Linked DNA regions of Diceros bicornis minor. The protein of the gene in region 2 interacts with the protein of the main gene of each other region in a biochemical or structural test. Links are inferred from orthologs where the notes say so. Each region holds a gene or a part of one and is shown on either strand. Other genes may lie near its edges.

Region 1 (8,904 bases), on a different chromosome or scaffold from region 2:
AGGATTGGCAATAGATGTTAGCTCAGAGCCGGTCTTCCTCAGCAAAAAGAGGAGGATTAGCATGGATGTTAGCTCAGGGCTGATCTTCCTCACAAAAAAAATAAATAAATAAAAAATAAAAATCACTGTTTATATGTTTATTTGCTCTCAAATTTTTCCACTAAGTCCCACTTCATCTGCCTTCTATAATGGTGTTATTTTCAAATTCTTTAGTAATATATTAGCACTTATATTTTACTACTAAAATAATCTTTGTATTTCTTAAACTAGATATATAGTATATAATATACTGAAATATAACAAGATGGTTATAAGCACCAGGCTTTGAAGGCAAACTATCTCTACTCTGCTTCTTACCACATACATGACCTCAAGCAAGAAAGCAACTTACCCTCTCCGCCCTATTTTTTCATAGGGATGTGGTGAGAATTAAACGCACCAATGTAAAGTGCTTAGAACAGCGCCTGGCCCTTAATAAGCATACCATACATGTCATCTACTTTAATTACATAATTATTATTTTTATGGGAAAAAGCATCTCAGCTTACACAACTCATTAAAAATCCTGATACTAAAATTTCGCTTTACTTTACCAAAGAGCTCAAACATTTAGGAAAGTTGGGCTTAATATCTTATTAAGCAGCCTCAGTGCTTATGCTATATCTACCCTATTCACAAGTCCAATTTTCTCCAACTCTGAGTCACTGTTAGCTCCTCTCCTGACTCATCACATAGAAAGGTAGACAGTCTGGAATATAATGGGTATGCCAAAAGGCATTTCTTAATCTACCTGGATTTATAAGATTCACTAAGTGGAACTTGTCCTATATAATGTTCAATAAATATGCTGAATAATTATGATAAATTGTGTTTACTTAAAAGTGCTTTTTATATATTAAATACTCCTTCAAACTATGTTTGTTATAACCCATCATGACAGAAAAACAACACATCACTTCAGTAAAACCAAAGATCCACATTTTTTGACTGATAGCCAAAAACAGATTTATATTTTGATGGCCTGATTCTCAAAATTTTGCCAAGCAAACTATAGACGAGAGGGTCAGCAGCAATCTCCGAGCCTATAAATTTGATCTTAATTTCTATTCAATTCCATACCTTCAACTGTTTTCCCTATTCAGATGTTTAAACTATTTAAGATAACCTCTAATAAAAAGTTAGGGAAAAAAATCTAGGGAAATAAACTAAATAATGCAAAGTAGGTTAATTCTTAAAAACTCCCCTCTCCTTAGATGCAGAAATACACAATAAAACACAAAAACGTTAAAAATACTGCTCTACCAATTATTCACTTTCCGTGTGATCTTGAGTCACTCACACTCCCTAAGCCTCCATTTTCTCCTCTGGAAATGGGGATAAAGAGTAACTGTAACTACCACACAGGATTGCTGAGAGCATTAATTAAAACAGCTTTACATGGGGCCGGCCCGGTGGTGCAAGCGGTTAAGTGCGCGCGCTCCGCTGCGGCGGCCCGGGGTTCGCTGGTTCGGATCCCGGGCGCGCACCGACGCACTGCTTGGCAAGCCATGCTGTGGCGGCGTCCCATATAAAGTGGAGGAAGATGGGCACACAGCTTTACATAAAGCACTTTAGCCAACCACTATGAAAATAGTAAGCTTCAATATGTGTTAACTTTTATATTTAAATCAAAACTTCAGTGTCATTTGACATCTACCTATTGAAAGATTATATTTCCTACGGTAACCATCTCTGTTAATCCTTTCATGCAAACCTACTCAATGGCAATAACTTCACAAGCACTCTGAAAACAGGCCTCTAACTGTCAAAGGAAGCCTTCCTCAACCATCCCTTTCCTCCTTGAGCTAGGTATCCTGCTCAGGAAATACACTGTATTTAACACCGTACATACCACGTTTACTTATATTACTTGAAAGCCCCTTGTGGGCAAGGCCCGTGTCCTATTCATTTCTGTATCTCCAGACCACAGCTCAGTAGTTCTTAACCTTGACTTGCATTAGAATCACATGGGGAGCTTATCAAAATACTAATGCCTGGGATCCACCCCAGACCCATTAAATCAGAAAAAGGTCAAGCAGGCAGAGGGCAAGTAATCAGCATGAAGGAGCATGTTTTTAAGATCCTCACATGATATTAATGTGCTGCCACAGTAAGAACCACTGCACTCTGACATTTAAAACACTATACAAACAGGTATGTATACACGTACGTGTGACTATATATATAAATACATAGGTATAGAAATATAAGTGTCAGCTCAAGATGCTCATCCTCAACAGCTTCTCTCAGCCCAATCACCTCTGCCCTTTAAACACACAATGTTTCTAATAAACAATTAGCTACACTGCCTTAAGATAACTTTTAAACTGTTAACTCAGTACTTAAGTTTTCTCACGTAATTTTGCCTTATTCTCCTTCCTAGATCACAGTCTTGCTCCTTGAGAATATACACTGCCTTATTCTTCTTGTTTCCTCCACAGTGCTTATGATAGTGTCTTGAACACAGACATGTAATAAACATTTGATCTAATAAACATATACAAAAATTACTGGCAGGAAGTATGTCACCAATTATCCAATTTGGGCTATTATGCCAAAAAAATAGAAAAAGTAAAAATTTAGAAAAAAGCTTTTAAAAAAATCTCTTAGTAAATGAGAACTAAAGTTTATCTCACTAATAAGGATCTGTATATCCCCACTTCTTATTACAGTAAACATACCCAGTATCCCATTCCCATCCAACACTTTCAGTTTCTGACCTTCTTCCTTGCTAAAACTATCTTCTAGTTGCTTTTGATATCTTTAGCTGCTGTCAGGTATCTTTATAACAATTTTATAATACTCCGTAATTAGTAAAATAAGTTAATGAAAGTCACAATGAAGTTTAATAAATATTTCTTGAAGCAACTTAATGTTATATCAACCACTAAAATAGGCTCTTTGCATACAAAATACATACTAATCTACTAATATAAACTTGGTTGGGAATACTGTCTGAAAATAAGTCTTATTCAACATTATACATAATACAAGTCTACTTCTGATGACAGATTGGTGATTTTCTGCTTTTATAATATTTTCATACCTGAAAACTTGGTAAAATACTATATGACTTTTTACAACAGAAGCACTAAGTTGTATTACACAACAAACTCCACAGCAACTAGCATTACAATGTTGAAACTACTAAGAAAAGTGAATGACACACAATTCTAAAAAAGCAACCACCTAAAGATATGAAAATGGTTCACCTGTAAATTTTGCGTCATATGTTTTACCACTATTAAAATAATCTGAAAGTCTTAAGTTGTTTTTAAAAAACTGAAAATACGGGGAGGAGGCACTCAAGAAGTAAGCCTGTTAATTACACACTGGTAAAACATTACCATGTTTTGTTGGGTCCTACAGCATGAAATCGATAGAGCCAAAGTTACCACAAAAAGAAAGCAATCCTCAATTCCCTATTCAATAAAAAAGGGTCAAATTCCACAGACAAAAAAATGGTACCCTGGGTTGTTTGTTTTTAAGGAAGATTAAATTTAGGAGTTGCCAACACCCAAACGGAAAACATTCCAGAGTATTAGACTCAATTGTACTGAGGAGTCATCTACATTCTCAGCAGTATGTTCCCTTACCCAAAGCAGGAGTATTAACAAAGGATGTTTCTTAGGATCTCACAAAATACGCCATACTTATTTCCCCCAGTAAACATTACCCTTGTTAAAAAACAGAAACAAAAAAAGGTACTTGAGAAATAACAATTTTAGCACAAGCAGCCAAACAAGAAATGAAGTTTAACATCTGCCAAGATATTTCCCAAAATAAGACCCCTGACAGATGAACAATGAGGAAAAGATTGAAAATGACAAATTCTTTTATTTGGACCATCAGCTCCTTTTAAAAATAAAGTTGAGGAATGCAGCTTTTCCAAAGCCTTGTCTTCAGTTTTCCCTCAACCTTCCTATTTTTAACTAAAAAAAAAAATCCTAGAAATTTGATTACCACTCTTATGAATTCCTTTTAAAGCAATTTAATGAATAACAGATCTTTTGTGCAAGTAGCAAACCGCAGAGGACAGTTTTGCTGGCTGATAAAAATCTCTCTGAAACATTCATGTAAAAATATACCCTTCAAAGACAAACACTGATTTTCCAGGTATGGAACTCATATTAAGACTTAAAAACTTGGATATGTTTGATATACACACCCTAACTTATTGCAAATGCTTTTACTTAAACCACAATTAAAATTAGTAAATTCTTATTAATTACTTACTGGGTGTCAAAGTTGAATAAATTAAAAGGTCAAAAGCAAAAAAAAAAAAAAAATTTAAAACCTAAAGAGCCAATGAGAAAAAGATGCAACTACTTTGGGTGAAACAAGGTTGTTGAATTACTTCCCCAAACCGGTGAGCTGCTACTAAAGTAATCAAAACTTGTTTAGGATTGTTTTGTTTTGTTGAAGGTAGAGAGAGGTGCGGCTATATGCTAAGGAAAAATGTTTCACCAGTCACTCTAATGGGAAGATGCTGCTGCCTGCAGAAATGTTTTGAGATTCCTCAAAATACCAAAAAAAAAAAAAAGAAACCAACCCTACCGCAAATGTTTTCCAGAATACACACAGCCAAATATTTAAATAGGCGATCATCTTAGCAAAAAGAACTGTGGGTTGCTACAGCGTTCCTACTGTCCTAAACATCACTCAGAAAGAGACGGAGTGTGTGTGTGTGCGTGTTGGAGACTGCCATCTACAAAAGCTAGTTTATACATAAAATAGTGCATATACTCATTTGGATATATCTATCTTGGGTTCAAAGAAAGATAAAAAGATAAAGCTGTCCTGGATAGTGCTAAGGCCACGTTTTCTTCACAGGTGCTACTAAACACTATTAAGAGAAAAGAGGAGATAAACAATCTGATAACTTCAGACCGTCACGTGGGAAGCTAGAGTATGTCGTCATCACCACTGACCAATTTTTCTAACTGATCAAGCATAAACAAGTCTAGGGGGACAAGTTCCGGAGCTACGAGTGGTCTTCCCACCACTCTGAAGAAGGACCCTGGGGCTGAGACCTTCGCCAAGAAGCCTAAAAAGCACGTGTCCTATTGGGTTTGGGGAACTCTTCCCAGGAAGCATTTGTCCAGAGGAAAACTCCATCACCCTCTGCCCGCCTAACTCGGCGAAAGGAGAAGAAGTACGAGCCGGAGGGGGACCCCTGGGCCCGGGGAGCTCCGGCTCACAAGGCGGCCGCCCCCAGGTCCGGCGCGGCCCGCCCGCTCACCTCCGCGGCGGGGATGTTGACCACGCCGGTGGAGCGCCGCTTCTCCCGCAGCTTCCTCTTCTCGATCTGGCCCTTGCCTTTCCTGGCGCTGGGGCCCGAGCTCTTGCCCTTCTCCGGGGCGCCGTCCCGCTCCTCCTGGTCGCCCCGGGCCGGCGGGGACCCCGAGGCGGCGGCGGCGGCGGCGGGGGGGGGCTCGTCCTCGGGGCGCCGCGGGCCCGGGGCGGCCCGGCTCGGCGCCGCGGGGCCCCCGGTGCAGTTCACGCCCCCGGGCCCGGGCCCGGCAGGTGCGGCCGCGCCGCCCGCGAGGTTGTTGTTGAGCTCGTTGGCCACGGCGGCCGCCGAGGGGCCCAGAGCCCCCGCCGCGGGCTTCCCGGCCGCGTCGCCGCTGCCCCCGCCCGGGGCGGCCGGGCCCGGGGGGTTCTGCTTGGCGCGCATCTTCTCGCGCTTCGCCTTCCACTCCTCCAGGAAGTCGGTGGTGCTGCCACTGCCGCCGCTGCCAGCCCGGTAGCCACCGGTCGCCATATTCCCAGCGGGGCCGGCCGGCGCTCACCTCACGCCGCCCGCCCCGGCTGCAGCGGCCGCCGCCTCTTCCTTCCCGCCGCCCGGAGGATGCGAGGCAACGACCCCCGGCGCGGGGGCGGCCGCGGCTCCCCCAGCGGCCGGCCGGTCTGGGGGGAAACACAAAAGGGGGCGGGGAAGGGAGGCGTCAGGTCCTCGCCCGGCCCGAGGGTCTGCCCGCGGCCGCGCCCCTCCGAGCCCCAAAGAGCGCGCCCACTCGCCCCGCCAGCCGCGGCCGCCGAGTCCCCACCCTGCAAAGTTTCTCCGACGCACCTACACGGCGGGCCGGGCGATCGCCGCCCCTCGAGGGGAGGAGAGAGGGGTTGTCCCCACCCCCGGCCCGCCCGCCCCCATCCCCACCCGGGTCAGCGCCCGCGGCGGTCGGGGGACCAGGGCCAGACCCCGCCACCTGTTGGCCCGTCGCAGCTCCCGCCCCTCGCTCCGGCCGCCGCCGGCCCGGGGTCCCCGCCCCGACACCCCACGCCCGGGTCGAGGCGCGGAGCCCCCAGGCTGCCCGCGGAGGAGGCGGGACGCGGGGAGACACCAGCCGTCCGGCCGAGTGGGGAGGGACAGTGCGCGCGTGGAGCGCGGGCGGCCGGGGCAGCCGCTTACCTGGGAGGAGCTGGGGGGACGAGGCGCGGGGCCCGGGCGCGGGCGCGGGCGCCCAGGTGAGCCGAGGCGGCCGCGCGCAAGGAACGAGCGGCAGCAACCCGCCGGCCGGAGCTCGCGGTTCTCCGGGCTGGGAGGGAACGAGGGGCGGAGGGGAGCCGAGCGGCGCCGAAGCGCGGGCGGAAAGGGCCGAGCCGGGCGCGAGGGGCGCGGCGCGCGGGGGGAGGTCGGGTCTGCCGACGCCCCGCCCCCGGCGCTCAGGTGCGCGGCGCCGCCGCCCGCCCCGCGCCCGCGGGCCGCAGCGCACATTCCTGGGCTCGCGGCCTCGCGGCGGCCGGCCTCCCGGCGCCGCCGGCTCCGGGGCGGGAGCGGCCCTGCACGCCCTCACCCCGTCCTCCTCTCCGCCTCTCGCGGCTCCCGCCACTCTTCCTTTTAAGTACAAGACACATTCTTCGAGGGAAAGTCTCGAATGCTGCTGGCTGAGGGAAAAGTACCATCAACTTGCGATGATTCAGGGCCGGAGTAGCCAGGATGGGAAAACGCTCGCGCGTCCCTTTTCCTCGTCGCTGTGCCCTCTTCAGATGCACTAGGGTGGCAGGCAGGAGAGCAGAAGGAATTGAAACAAACCCAGCATCCTCCTTCTAAGAAAAGTCTGTGGTCTTCTGGTGAAAGCGTCAGCTAAAAGGAGAGGCTTAAATTATCAGTGAATTATCACCGGGTTACTATTATCTTAGGCTTGCAGGAAAAAATTAACATTTCGACAGTGTATTGTATTGGCGATCCCAATGAATTTGGAGTTTTCCTCTTAACCCTGTCTCTACACCACTCTTTACAGATAGTGAATTTAGCAGCAAAGCTCCCTCCCAAAGTACTAAAGCTGCCCTAATGCTCATCTGATATGAGCTGGGGCGCTCACTCTTTTCCCATCCTTAACACACCATAGGGAAAATCTTACCCTCAGCTGCAAGTCATCTGAGGTTTCCAGATCAGGGCTGGGTGGGCTGCCACTGACAGGCACCTGAGGAGATTGACCTCCCTCTATCCGAGTAATGCCATGCACATCATTGTAGGGCACACATGTACAAATGCCAGGTCACTGTTTTGTGAAAAGTAGGCGAGCCCTGAGTCACACTCTTACCTAACAAATCTTTGTTCCTACTTAGTATTCGCCCAGGTGGCACATGGTGGGTGTGCAGTCAGTGTGTGCCTGTGACAGGAATGAGAACAGGAGAAAGTGCTTCACATGCTCTTTATTTCTCAGAGGGGAAGTCGTGCAGTTCTGGTCTTTGGTCTGGCTGTTGGGGTGAACATGTGTGGGTAACGGAGAGAGCTCTGGAAAAATCCTTAGAAAAGTAAAGGCCTTCCTTGGGAATAGATTTAAAAGGCTGAGCCTAGCTGGTACCAACCTGGGTGCACCACCTGAAATCCCTCAATTATAGATGCATTATTTTGTTTTTTGAGTTTTAGAGAGAGTTGGACATTAAAAAGATTCACATTAATATGCTTGGAGGGGCTGCAGGAGACAGTGAAAAAAAGGAGATATTCTGCCTAGACACATAGTAGCTGAAAGATCTTGGTCATGTTGTTTAAATTCTCTGAAACTCAGCTTTCTTTACTATAAAAATCAGCAATACTGGCATATATTTTTAAGCCACTGTAAGAATTGACACCGCATGTTAGGTGTGCTTGGTTCAAGGAAAGTACTCTGTAAATATAGTCCCTTTTATTAATAGGGTATCAGTCAGAGTCCAGGGTCTCTAAGAAGTGGGGGGTCGGAGGAAAGGCAAAAAAGATAAGGTACTGAATACACAATTTAAATTTGAAAATGATAGACTTTGAATGAACGAGGATAACACTGATGCCACATAAATTTATCACTGCATCTCTTGACTTCTGAGTCAAGAAGATTGGCTACCAGTGACTTGTGTGGCTTTGGACAAGTTGCTTAACATTTGTGCCTCTGTTTACTTACATATAAAATGAGGATAATAATACTTCCTACCTTGTGAAAGTGTTGTGACAGTGCCTGAGATCCTTAGATAAAAGGTAGTATGTGAGTACCAGAGTAGCTATTATTACTCTATAAAGCGCCCTAAGAACCATGGATGAAAGAGATTATTGAGGTACAAAGCACTATGTATCATTATCATTTATTATACCTTTTGTCTTTACCTTACCATTCTCAATATTCCCAGAGATATTTCACAGCCAGACTGCTTCCAACATTGCAACAAGATGTTTAGCTGAGTCAGTCCTAAATTGCAAAATGTTTGCATATCATCAATCTTTATGTAGAGTGTTCTGATGAAATAATCCTCAAAGACTCAGAGCTTGGTTTCCCAACTGCAGCACTATGGACATTTGGGACCAGATATTTCTTTGTTTGGGGGGTTGTCCTATCCATTGTAGGATGTTTAGCAGCATCCTTGGCTTCTACCTACTAGATACCAGTAGCT
Region 2 (8,904 bases):
TTTGCAAATCTTCGAAATCTCTGGCTTCATAGAAGACAACTGGATTCTTTTTTTTTGTGAGGGAGATCAGCCCTGAGCTAACATCCATGCTAATCCTCCTCTTTTTGGTGAGGAAGACCGGCCCTGAGCTAACATCTATTGCCAATCCTTCTCCTTTTTTTTTCCCCCCAAAGCCCCAGTAGATAGTTGTATGTCATAGTTGCACGTCCTTCTAGACAACTGGATTCTTATATCTGCTTCTGTATTAAATCTGTTATGTTGTTTTGGTTGAACTATTTGGAGAGAATCAAGCCTCACTCATTCCCATACTTGGAAAAGAGAGAAGCATTTTAGTACTTTTTTCAGCTAATTGGGCATGTTCTTTTATACAACACCAAAACTCAACAAGTGCTGGTTTCTTAAGGAGTAATTACAATGTGGTATCTGAAACCATACTAATGAACTTTTCGTAATTGTTACATTAAAATCCATTGGTCTGTCTTGCACTTTGAATGAGTCTTTGCTTCCCACATGATTTTGTAACATCATGCGCTGGTTATGTAGCAATATTAGTAGTAAACCAGGACCGGCCCTGTGGCATAGCGGTTAAGTGCGCGCGCTCCGCTGCTGACGGCCCGGGTTCGGATCCCCCACACGCACTGATGCACCGCTTGTCGGGCCACGCTGTGGGGCGTCCCATATAAAGTGGAGGAAGATGGGCACGGATGTTAGCCCAGGGCCAGTCTTCCTCAGCAAAAACAGGATGATTGGCATGGATGTTAACTCAGGGCTGATCTTCCTCACACACACTAAATAAATAAATAAATAAACAGATAAATAAATAAATATTAAACAAAAAAAAAGTAGTAAACCAAGTTTGCAGTTCTTCCAGATGTTGGCACATTTCATTAAACCATACCGAAAAATCGCATTTGTTACTATCAATTTCATTAGGCAAGTGTCGAGGTATCGGGAAACTGTCAGGTGTCAAAAAATTTAATATTTTGCTTGAAAGCTCAAATGTTACCGTCGGCAACAAATACTGTCAACCGTTTCCCTTGAAGTGACAGGCTCAATTTGTTCATTTTTGAGAAAATGTCTGCCAAATACCCAAGTCTGAATTACTATAGTTTGTCAGTTGTTTTTTTCAAGGAAAAATGGTGTTCCAACCCCTCACTCACTACGTGTGGGCTGTGCATACGTAACTTGCTTCCAATGAATATCGTACAGAAAAGGGAGGAAAAAAGAGTGACTTTATAGTGGAGAAACCTGACGAGCCAGGGGACCAAGGTCAACATAAACAGTGACAAGTCACATGGATGGAATAGACCCCGATATGATGGGGTGAAAAGGGCACTTTACCTCTGGGGTCCTCCGCCTTAAAACCCATCACCCCAGTCCAACCATGAGAAAACAATCAGACACACCCCAGTTGAGGGACATTCTACAAAATGCCTGTCCAGTCCTCAAAACTGTCAAGGTCATCAAAAACAGGAAAGTCTGAGAAACCGTCACGGCCCCAAGGAGCTTAAGGACTAAATGTCATGTGGGATCCTGAAACGGAAGAAGGGCGTTAGGAAAAACAAGGAATCCGAGTAAAGCGTGGACTTGGTTAAGAGTAACGTGTCGCTGTCGGTTCATTAGTTGTGACAAATGTACCATGTTAGTGTATGATGCAGTAACAGGGGAAACCGGGTGTGGGAGAAGGCACTGCTTTCGCTGTGAACTGGAGTGTGTGTAGGGGTTAAGTAAGAGGGGAGGAAGGCGATCTCCAGGCGGAAGGAACAGCTCGTGCCAAGACCTTGGGTAGGAATGAGATGTTTGAAGTCAGAAGGAACACAAACGGGTTTGGAGTGCAGTGAGCAAGGGGGAGACCGGCGCTGATGTTAGGGTGGTCGGCAAAGGCTGAAAGATATAGGGTCTTGTGTCCAATGGCTTCTGAGGTGGCTTGGGGTTCGGGCCCATCTGGGAATGAATCTCAGTCCTGCCATTTACCCGCTGTGTGACTTTGAGTGAGATACCTAACCTCTCTGGGTCTCAATTTCCCCCTCTGTAGAATGGGGGAAATATTAATATATTCTTCCTCCTAAGGTTGTTGATTGGTACATGCTAAGGCTCAATAAACGCTGTTATTATCATGTATCTTGAGAAGAACAGGAGTCGCAGAAGGAGCCTCAAGCATGCATGGCAACACCTGACTGGTCTCCTCACTTGCGTTTTTATTTATGTATTTGGAATAGGGGTAACGTTTTACAGGGGAGGAAACCGCCACTCAGGGACTAAAGCAGCCCTGGGGTCCATCCCCGGAGCTGCCACGCCGGAGCTGGGCTTTGGATTCGCGTACTCTGCGCCCAGAAACCCAGGAATATCGGGGGGCAGGACTTCAGCCTCGCGCCTCCCAGCTTCAGGACCCCGGTCAGAGGAGATAGGGCGGGGCGACCCAGGGGCCGGAAGTCGGTCTGCAGACTTACGAAAGCTTGACGGGCGTCAGTTACAGCCAATCAGCTGCGGGGAGGTGAGCCTGTTGGCCAATGGCGAGGCGGCATCTAGGTGCGGAGGGCCGGACGCCTTCGGGCCTGGGCCGGGAAGGCTGCGGTGGGCGGGGCGTCACGAGCGGCGGGCGCGCTGACCAATGGGCGGTGAGATCCGCCTCCGGGGGCGGGCACTAGCGGACGCGGTGACGTCATCGCAGGTCAGCACGTCGCAGGGGCCCAAGGAGGCGGCGGCGGCCAGCGCGGCGGAGGGACCGGTGAGCGGAGGGTGCGGAGCGGGCTCGGCCCTAGGCCGGCGGGTGAAGGGGGCCCTGGGGGACGTAGGGCGACGTCTGGGGAGTCCTGGGATGACCGGGCCGGAGAAGGGGCTGGGCCGGGGCCTGCGGGGGGCGTGGCGGCCTCGGGGACGCTGCAGCAGGGACATTAGGGATTGGGGAGTCCTTGGAGGGGTCGCTGAAGGGGTCATCGGGGTCTGCCCTGGAGCTCGTGCGAGGGTTGGGGGCGAGAGACCGTGGAGGAGGCTCAGATGTGGCCCTTTGCGGGGGCCCTTTGTTTGGGGGTGGGGGAGACTGGGGTGGGGCCCTGATACCTGGAGGGGTGCCTTCGAGGAGGGGGCGGTCAGGGGGAGGCAGGAGTGGGGAGGGGCTTGCAGGAAGCCGCTGTCCAGTTCCTGGGAATTCAGGGTGCGGGGAGAACACCGCTGAGGAGGGTCTTAAGAGACCGGCCGAGGTTGGGGGGCCCTGGGGGGGAGAGCGTCAGGACGAGGGGGGTTGGAGGTCGCTGATGGGCAGGGAGATGGGAGCGTGCGGGACTGGAACTACTTAGGAAGCTGGGCAGGAGTCCCGGGGTCTGGGGGTGTGGAGACTGGGGGAGCTTGCAGGAATGTGTGGGGCCTCTGGATGAGCAGGTTGGGAGAAGGCAGAGACAGGTGGGGGCAGTGTGTGGGGAGCCAGAGGTAGTGCCTGGCGGGAGTTATGGGGGCGAAGGTGGCACAGTGGGGCTCACACCGACCTTTTGGGGGGCACGGTGTCTAAATGAGATGCCACGGGAAAGTGGCCGGCTCGCTAAACGCACGTGCCCCCTGAGGACAGTGGGCCTTCAGCGTGGAGTGATGTGAGACCTATCTTTGGCGAGCAGGTGGCTCCGTTTACCTAGGAGTAGTGGCATCTCATTCCTTCTTTCCTGTGTCTCTGTCTCCTCCAGGGTCACAGCGAGGGGACTCCCCGAGGTCCCGTCCCCAGGCTGCAGTGACTGGGCTTTCACTGGAGCGGAAGGTGCTGGAAGGCAGACCGGCCACCATGTCCACATTCAGGCAGGAAGATGTGGAAGACCACTACGAGATGGGGGAGGAGCTGGGCAGGTGAGCAGGCCCCTCTGACGGGGCTCTGGGGCTGGGGGAGGCACTGCGGGGTTTTCTGGACAGTATCTCCCGTCCTGTCCTTTGTTCTGTTCTCCAAGATGGAATGAGTCAGGGGTGTGTGCTGGTGGAACGAGTTTGGGCTTTGGAATCAGACAGCCCTGGCCGTGAATTCCTGCTCTGACATCCTCTGTGCGTTTCCTTTGGGAAGAAACGTAACTGAGTGTCTTTGGCACCGAATGCGATGCCTGGCAAGTGGTGTGAGAGCAGTTGGGTTAGCAGTTTCTGTCTCTTTAATCCTCTCGTGTGGGAGGCATTTACGTCTCCGCAGCTCTTGAACACACGTTTCCAGGGAAGGCCTCCTGTCTGGGCCCCCACGCCTGCCGATTGTGAGCATTCTTGTGGGAAAAAGCGGAGGTTTCCCATTCCAGCCGGGCAGCTGATTTCCTGCCTGGCCGGGCCTTGCCGGGTCCCCTGGGAACTCGCCTGCCTCAGACCAGTCAGGCACCATTCTTTTTTTTTTTTTTTTTCCCAGAGCCTCAAACCTTATTTGGTGAGTTTGTTGCTGGCCAGCCTTCCTGATCTGCCTTGGCCGGCCCCATGATGTCACCAGAAAGGAATGTAAATAACTCAGCCCCGCCTCAGGCCTTTTCGGAGAGAGTGGCTCCTTTGGGATCCTGAAGTGCTTCCTTTAGGAATTTCCTCTGTTAGAGAGGTAGCGAATGCAGCCTCCACCTCCCGCCCCCCCCCCCCAAAGAAATCTCATATTTTATTGTTGAAAATGTGTTAGGACCTCCTACTGAGGGTAGTTTGGCAAAAATCAGCAAAATGTCACATGTATGTTCTCTTTAACCCATCGATTCCACTCCCAGGAATGAATTCAGTGGAAATACGTGCTACACGGATCAATGACCTAGGAATAGGAGTAGATGCTATAGGGATTTTATATGAGTGAAAGATGGGAAGCCTCTTTGGGCCGTTACAGCAACACCACATCCGTTAATGGAACATTATGCAGCCGTTAAAAAGAGCCAGGCAACTCGTCTGATGTGGGCCACATAGGAAATTTATTGAAGTTTTCTAGATAAACTGAGGATGAGAGAAGGGAAGGGACTTGCCCAAGGGCACACAGACTGTAAGTGGCAAAGGAGGATTCAGACCTTGAGACAAAGCCCCCCTGGCTCCAGAGCCCAGGTGCGCTGGAATCAGAGGTGGGCACCTGGTTCCCGTCTGCCCGACAGCCAGCTCTGCCCTCGTATCCCGGGGTTGGGCCCATTTGATGTCCAGACGAAGACGAGCCCCTGACCTGAGTGTTGGGAAGAGAGTGTGTGCTCACGCCCAAAACATCGTCCTCTTTCGGGCGCGCGCTTTGCCCCTCTGAGGTTGGCCGCTGTGATCAGCTCTCGGTTTCAGAGGAGGGAACGAGCTGCAGTTCAGTGTCGAGCAGAGCTGTCTTTCCCGAGCCTAATTATCAACTGTCTTTGGGGAATTAGCTGCCGGAATCACCGTGGGGACAGACCTCGAGTAAAGCAGGGCCACCTTGTCTCGTCCCAGGGGTCACAGGGCTCAGTGAACTGGGAGCGAGTTTCTTTGTGTGTGTGTTCTCAATTCAAATTCGAATCGACACTCTCAGGAAATAAATTAATCCGTGGTGGCTGAGTCTGTGGGCTTCCACGTCGTGGAGTGGCGGCACGTCTGTGTTAGTGAGCTCCCACTGTCGGAGCTCAGTGCCCCGGACGAGGGGCTTAAACAGCAGACGTGTATTCTTTCCCAGTGCTGCAGGCTGGAAATCCAAAATCTGGGTGTCGGCAGGGCAGGTTCCCTCTGAGGCCTCTCTCCTTGGCGTGTAGACGGCCGTCTCCCGGTGTCCTCACGTGGTCCCCCTCTGTGCGTGTCTGTGTCCTCCTCTCCTCCTCTTATAAGGACACAGTCCTATTGGTTAGGACCCACCCTAATGACTTCTTTTAACTTAATCACCTCTTTAAAGACCTGTCTCCAAACGCAGTCACATTCTGAGGTCCTGGGGGTTAGGGCTTCAACATACAGATTTCGGGGGGACCCAGTTCAGCTCACAACAGCATCTTTTGACCTGTTCCCATGATCTCGGTCTTACTCATCTTTATGTGTGAGTTCAGCTTGGAATCAAGCTGGAGGAGAGCAGTCCTTGTATTGGAAATTCAGGCCACACGTCCAGTGCTCAGCACGGCGTGGCGGACACTCGGCCTGTGATGTCATTGCCGTCAGGGAGTCTTCGTGGGGTGGGGGGCGGGCCTGGAAGAATTCGCTTGGCTGATGTAGGCAGAGGGGCGGGGGGAGGCATTTCACGTGGGGGGAGTGTTAGCCCAGACTTGGAGGGGCAGGAGCATAGTGGACCTGGGGGCTGTTGTGGCAGATTGGGGAGTGGGGGGCAAGGCCTGAGCGGGAACACTTAGCCTTTCTCGTCTCACCTGTGTCCCTGGCTTTTAGGTTAGTGTTGGAGTTTCCTGTTGCTGCCGTAACAAACTACCACAGTTTAGTGGCTTACAAGAGCACGCATTGGTTATCTGAAAGGTCTGGGGCTCCGGAGTCTAAAATGGATCCTCAGGGCTGGTCCTCCGGAGGCTCCAGGGAGAACCGTCTCCTGCCTTTTCCAGCTTCTAGAGGCCGCGTCCTGGGCTCGGGGCCCCTTCCTCCGTCTGCACAGCCCGCAGCGCAGCGTCTCCCGTCTCTCAGCCTCTGACCCTCCTCCTCCCTCTGATGGGGACCCTGTGGTGACACTGGGCCCCCGGGGATCCAGGGTCATCCCCATCTCAGGGGCCTTGACTTAATCCATCTGCAAAGTCCCCTGTGCCGTGTGAGGTGACGCATCCACAGGTCCCAGGATTTGGACGTGGACGTCTTTGGAGGGGCCATTATTTCATCTACCATGGTCAGTCATGATTTTGCACCTCCCACCTGCCCACCTCGAGCTTCACCCACCTCCTGACCCCCCGAGTGTGTGCAGAGCACACCCGTGGTGGCCCGCCCTGGGTGCTCCTCGTGTGGTGCTGGTGCGGGCGTGGCTTAGGTGCCTGCCAGCTGCGGTGGTCCTGGGCTCCCAGGGAAGGTCCGCTTGCTGAGACGCATGTCTCAGGTCCCAGTCAGGTCGCTTGGCTTTTCTGGGAGCCCCTCTGGCGTGGCACAGGCGCCCCTCACTCGTCTGTCTGTCTCTGGTTCTGCCTGGCCTGTCTTCCCTCTGCCGCCACCAACTTCAGGGACCCCTCCTGTCCCCAAGGCCCGTCTCCGCTGTTCCTTCCTCTACATGCTGTCCCCCGTTTCCCTGAGGTGTCGCGTAGTCCCTTCTTCTTGACGCTGACGGTGCCCTGCTGGCGTTCCGTCCGGGGCACGCGCTTGCTCCCTGGGGATTGGCCCGTCCACTGACGTGTGCGTTCCCGTATCCTCTTGGTGCCGGCTCAGCGACCACCGCCTGTGGGCCAAATCCCACCCTAGCCACTTCGTGCAGCCCGCTCGTGGATCTGGAATGGGCTTTGACTGTTTTTAAGGGTTGTAAAAACGTGCAGGAATTGTGACAGAGGCCACATGGCCCGTAAAGCTTGAAATATTTACTGTCTGGCCTTTGTCAGTCACCTCTTGAGTTACAGCAAGTTAACCTAAGCGAGTTCCTAGACAGCAAAGGAATTCGGACACTGGGCAGCTCCCTGGGGGGCAGTAAATAGACTTTCTCTCTCTCGGTAACGGCTGTCTTGAGATATAATTCACATACCGTACAGTTCTCTCATTCAAAGTGTACAACTTAATGCTCTTTAGTACATTCACAGAGTTGTGCAACCATCACCACTAGATAGTTCCAAAACATTTCCATAATCCCAAAAAGAAACCCCATCCCATCAGCAGTCACTCCCCATCCCCTCCCCAGCCCCTGACACCCATGAACCCACTTTCTGTCTGCGGACGTGCCTGTTCTGGACATTTCACATCAATGGAATCACGCACCGTGTGTCCTTCTTTGTCTGGTTCTCTCCCTGAGCATCGTGTGTTCAAGGTCCATCCGCGGTGTAGCTGTGTCGGGGTTTAACTCCTTTTCATGGCTGCATAATGTTCCAGTGTGTGGATGGACCACACTGTGTTTATCCATCATCCATTGATGGACATTTGGGTTGTTTCCACCTTCGGGCTGTTGTGAATCATGTTGCTGTGAATGTCTGTGTACAAGTTGCCGTGTGGACACATTTTTCCTTTCTCTTGGGTGGACACCCGGGAATGGAATTGCTGGGTCAGATGGAAACTCCATGTTTAACCTTTTTTTTTTTTTCTGAGGAAGACTGGCCCTGGGCTAACATCTGTGCCCATCTTCCTCCACTTTATATGGGACGCCCCCACAGCACAGCCTGACAAGCAGTGCCTGGGTGCGTGCCTGGGATCTGCACCCGGGCTGCCAGTGGTGGAGCACGTGCAGTTAACCACTACGCCATGGGGCCGGCCCCCATGTTTAACCTTCTGAGGAACCACCAGACTTTTCCACAGTGGCTGCCCCATTTTGCGTTCCCACCAGCCGTTATGAGGGTTCTGATTTCTCCACATCCTCACTCTTCTCTCTTGTTTTGAAACTGAGTGTATTTCTTTCGCCTTTCCTATTAAATAAGAAGCTCTTTTGAAGTCAATGGCTTTTTTTCTTCTTAGATTTTTAAAAATGACGAAATACGCTGTGAAAAGTTGAATCCGTATAGAATCATATCAAATAAAAAGTAAACTCCCTTCCCTGGCCCCATTCCCTCAGTCCCACTCCTCAGAGCTGTCTGTGGTTAACAGGTCGGCCTGTGGCCTTCAGACCTTTCTTCCTGCATAGACTCACGTAAATACATCTGTGCGTGTGGGTACAGTCTATACCTCTTCAAACAGAAAGATCTTCTGCGTGTCGTCCTGCAGCTCTTTCCCTGAGCGGGTCCTCAGGAATGGCTCTCCTTGTCAGCTCACGGAGAGTCGCCTCATTCTTTTTCATGACTGTGTAAGATTCCGCTGGACCTACTGTGATGGATTCCAGCTCCCTTTTGATCAGCATCGAGCTGTTTCCATCCTTTTGCTGTTGTAGACGTGCCA

What was found.
Region 1: of the proteins of DAPK3 (region 2) and PAWR, one has a biochemical effect on the other in vitro, tested with the Homo sapiens proteins (2 studies listed by BioGRID). The link is inferred for Diceros bicornis minor from reciprocal best matches to the Homo sapiens genes DAPK3 and PAWR.

Annotation. Positions count from the first base shown.
Region 1 is NC_080764.1:40,240,874-40,249,777, reverse strand, and holds the start of PAWR (PRKC apoptosis WT1 regulator protein), read right to left. Parts: upstream 5,874-8,904; 5' UTR 5,804-5,873; coding exon 5,282-5,803; intron 1-5,281. UniProt on the Homo sapiens protein: Pro-apoptotic protein capable of selectively inducing apoptosis in cancer cells, sensitizing the cells to diverse apoptotic stimuli and causing regression of tumors in animal models.
Region 2 is NW_026691553.1:3,017,538-3,026,441, reverse strand, and holds the start of DAPK3 (death-associated protein kinase 3), read left to right. Parts: upstream 1-2,682; 5' UTR 2,683-2,728; intron 2,729-3,674; 5' UTR 3,675-3,769; coding exon 3,770-3,831; intron 3,832-8,904. UniProt on the Homo sapiens protein: Serine/threonine kinase which is involved in the regulation of apoptosis, autophagy, transcription, translation and actin cytoskeleton reorganization. Involved in the regulation of smooth muscle contraction.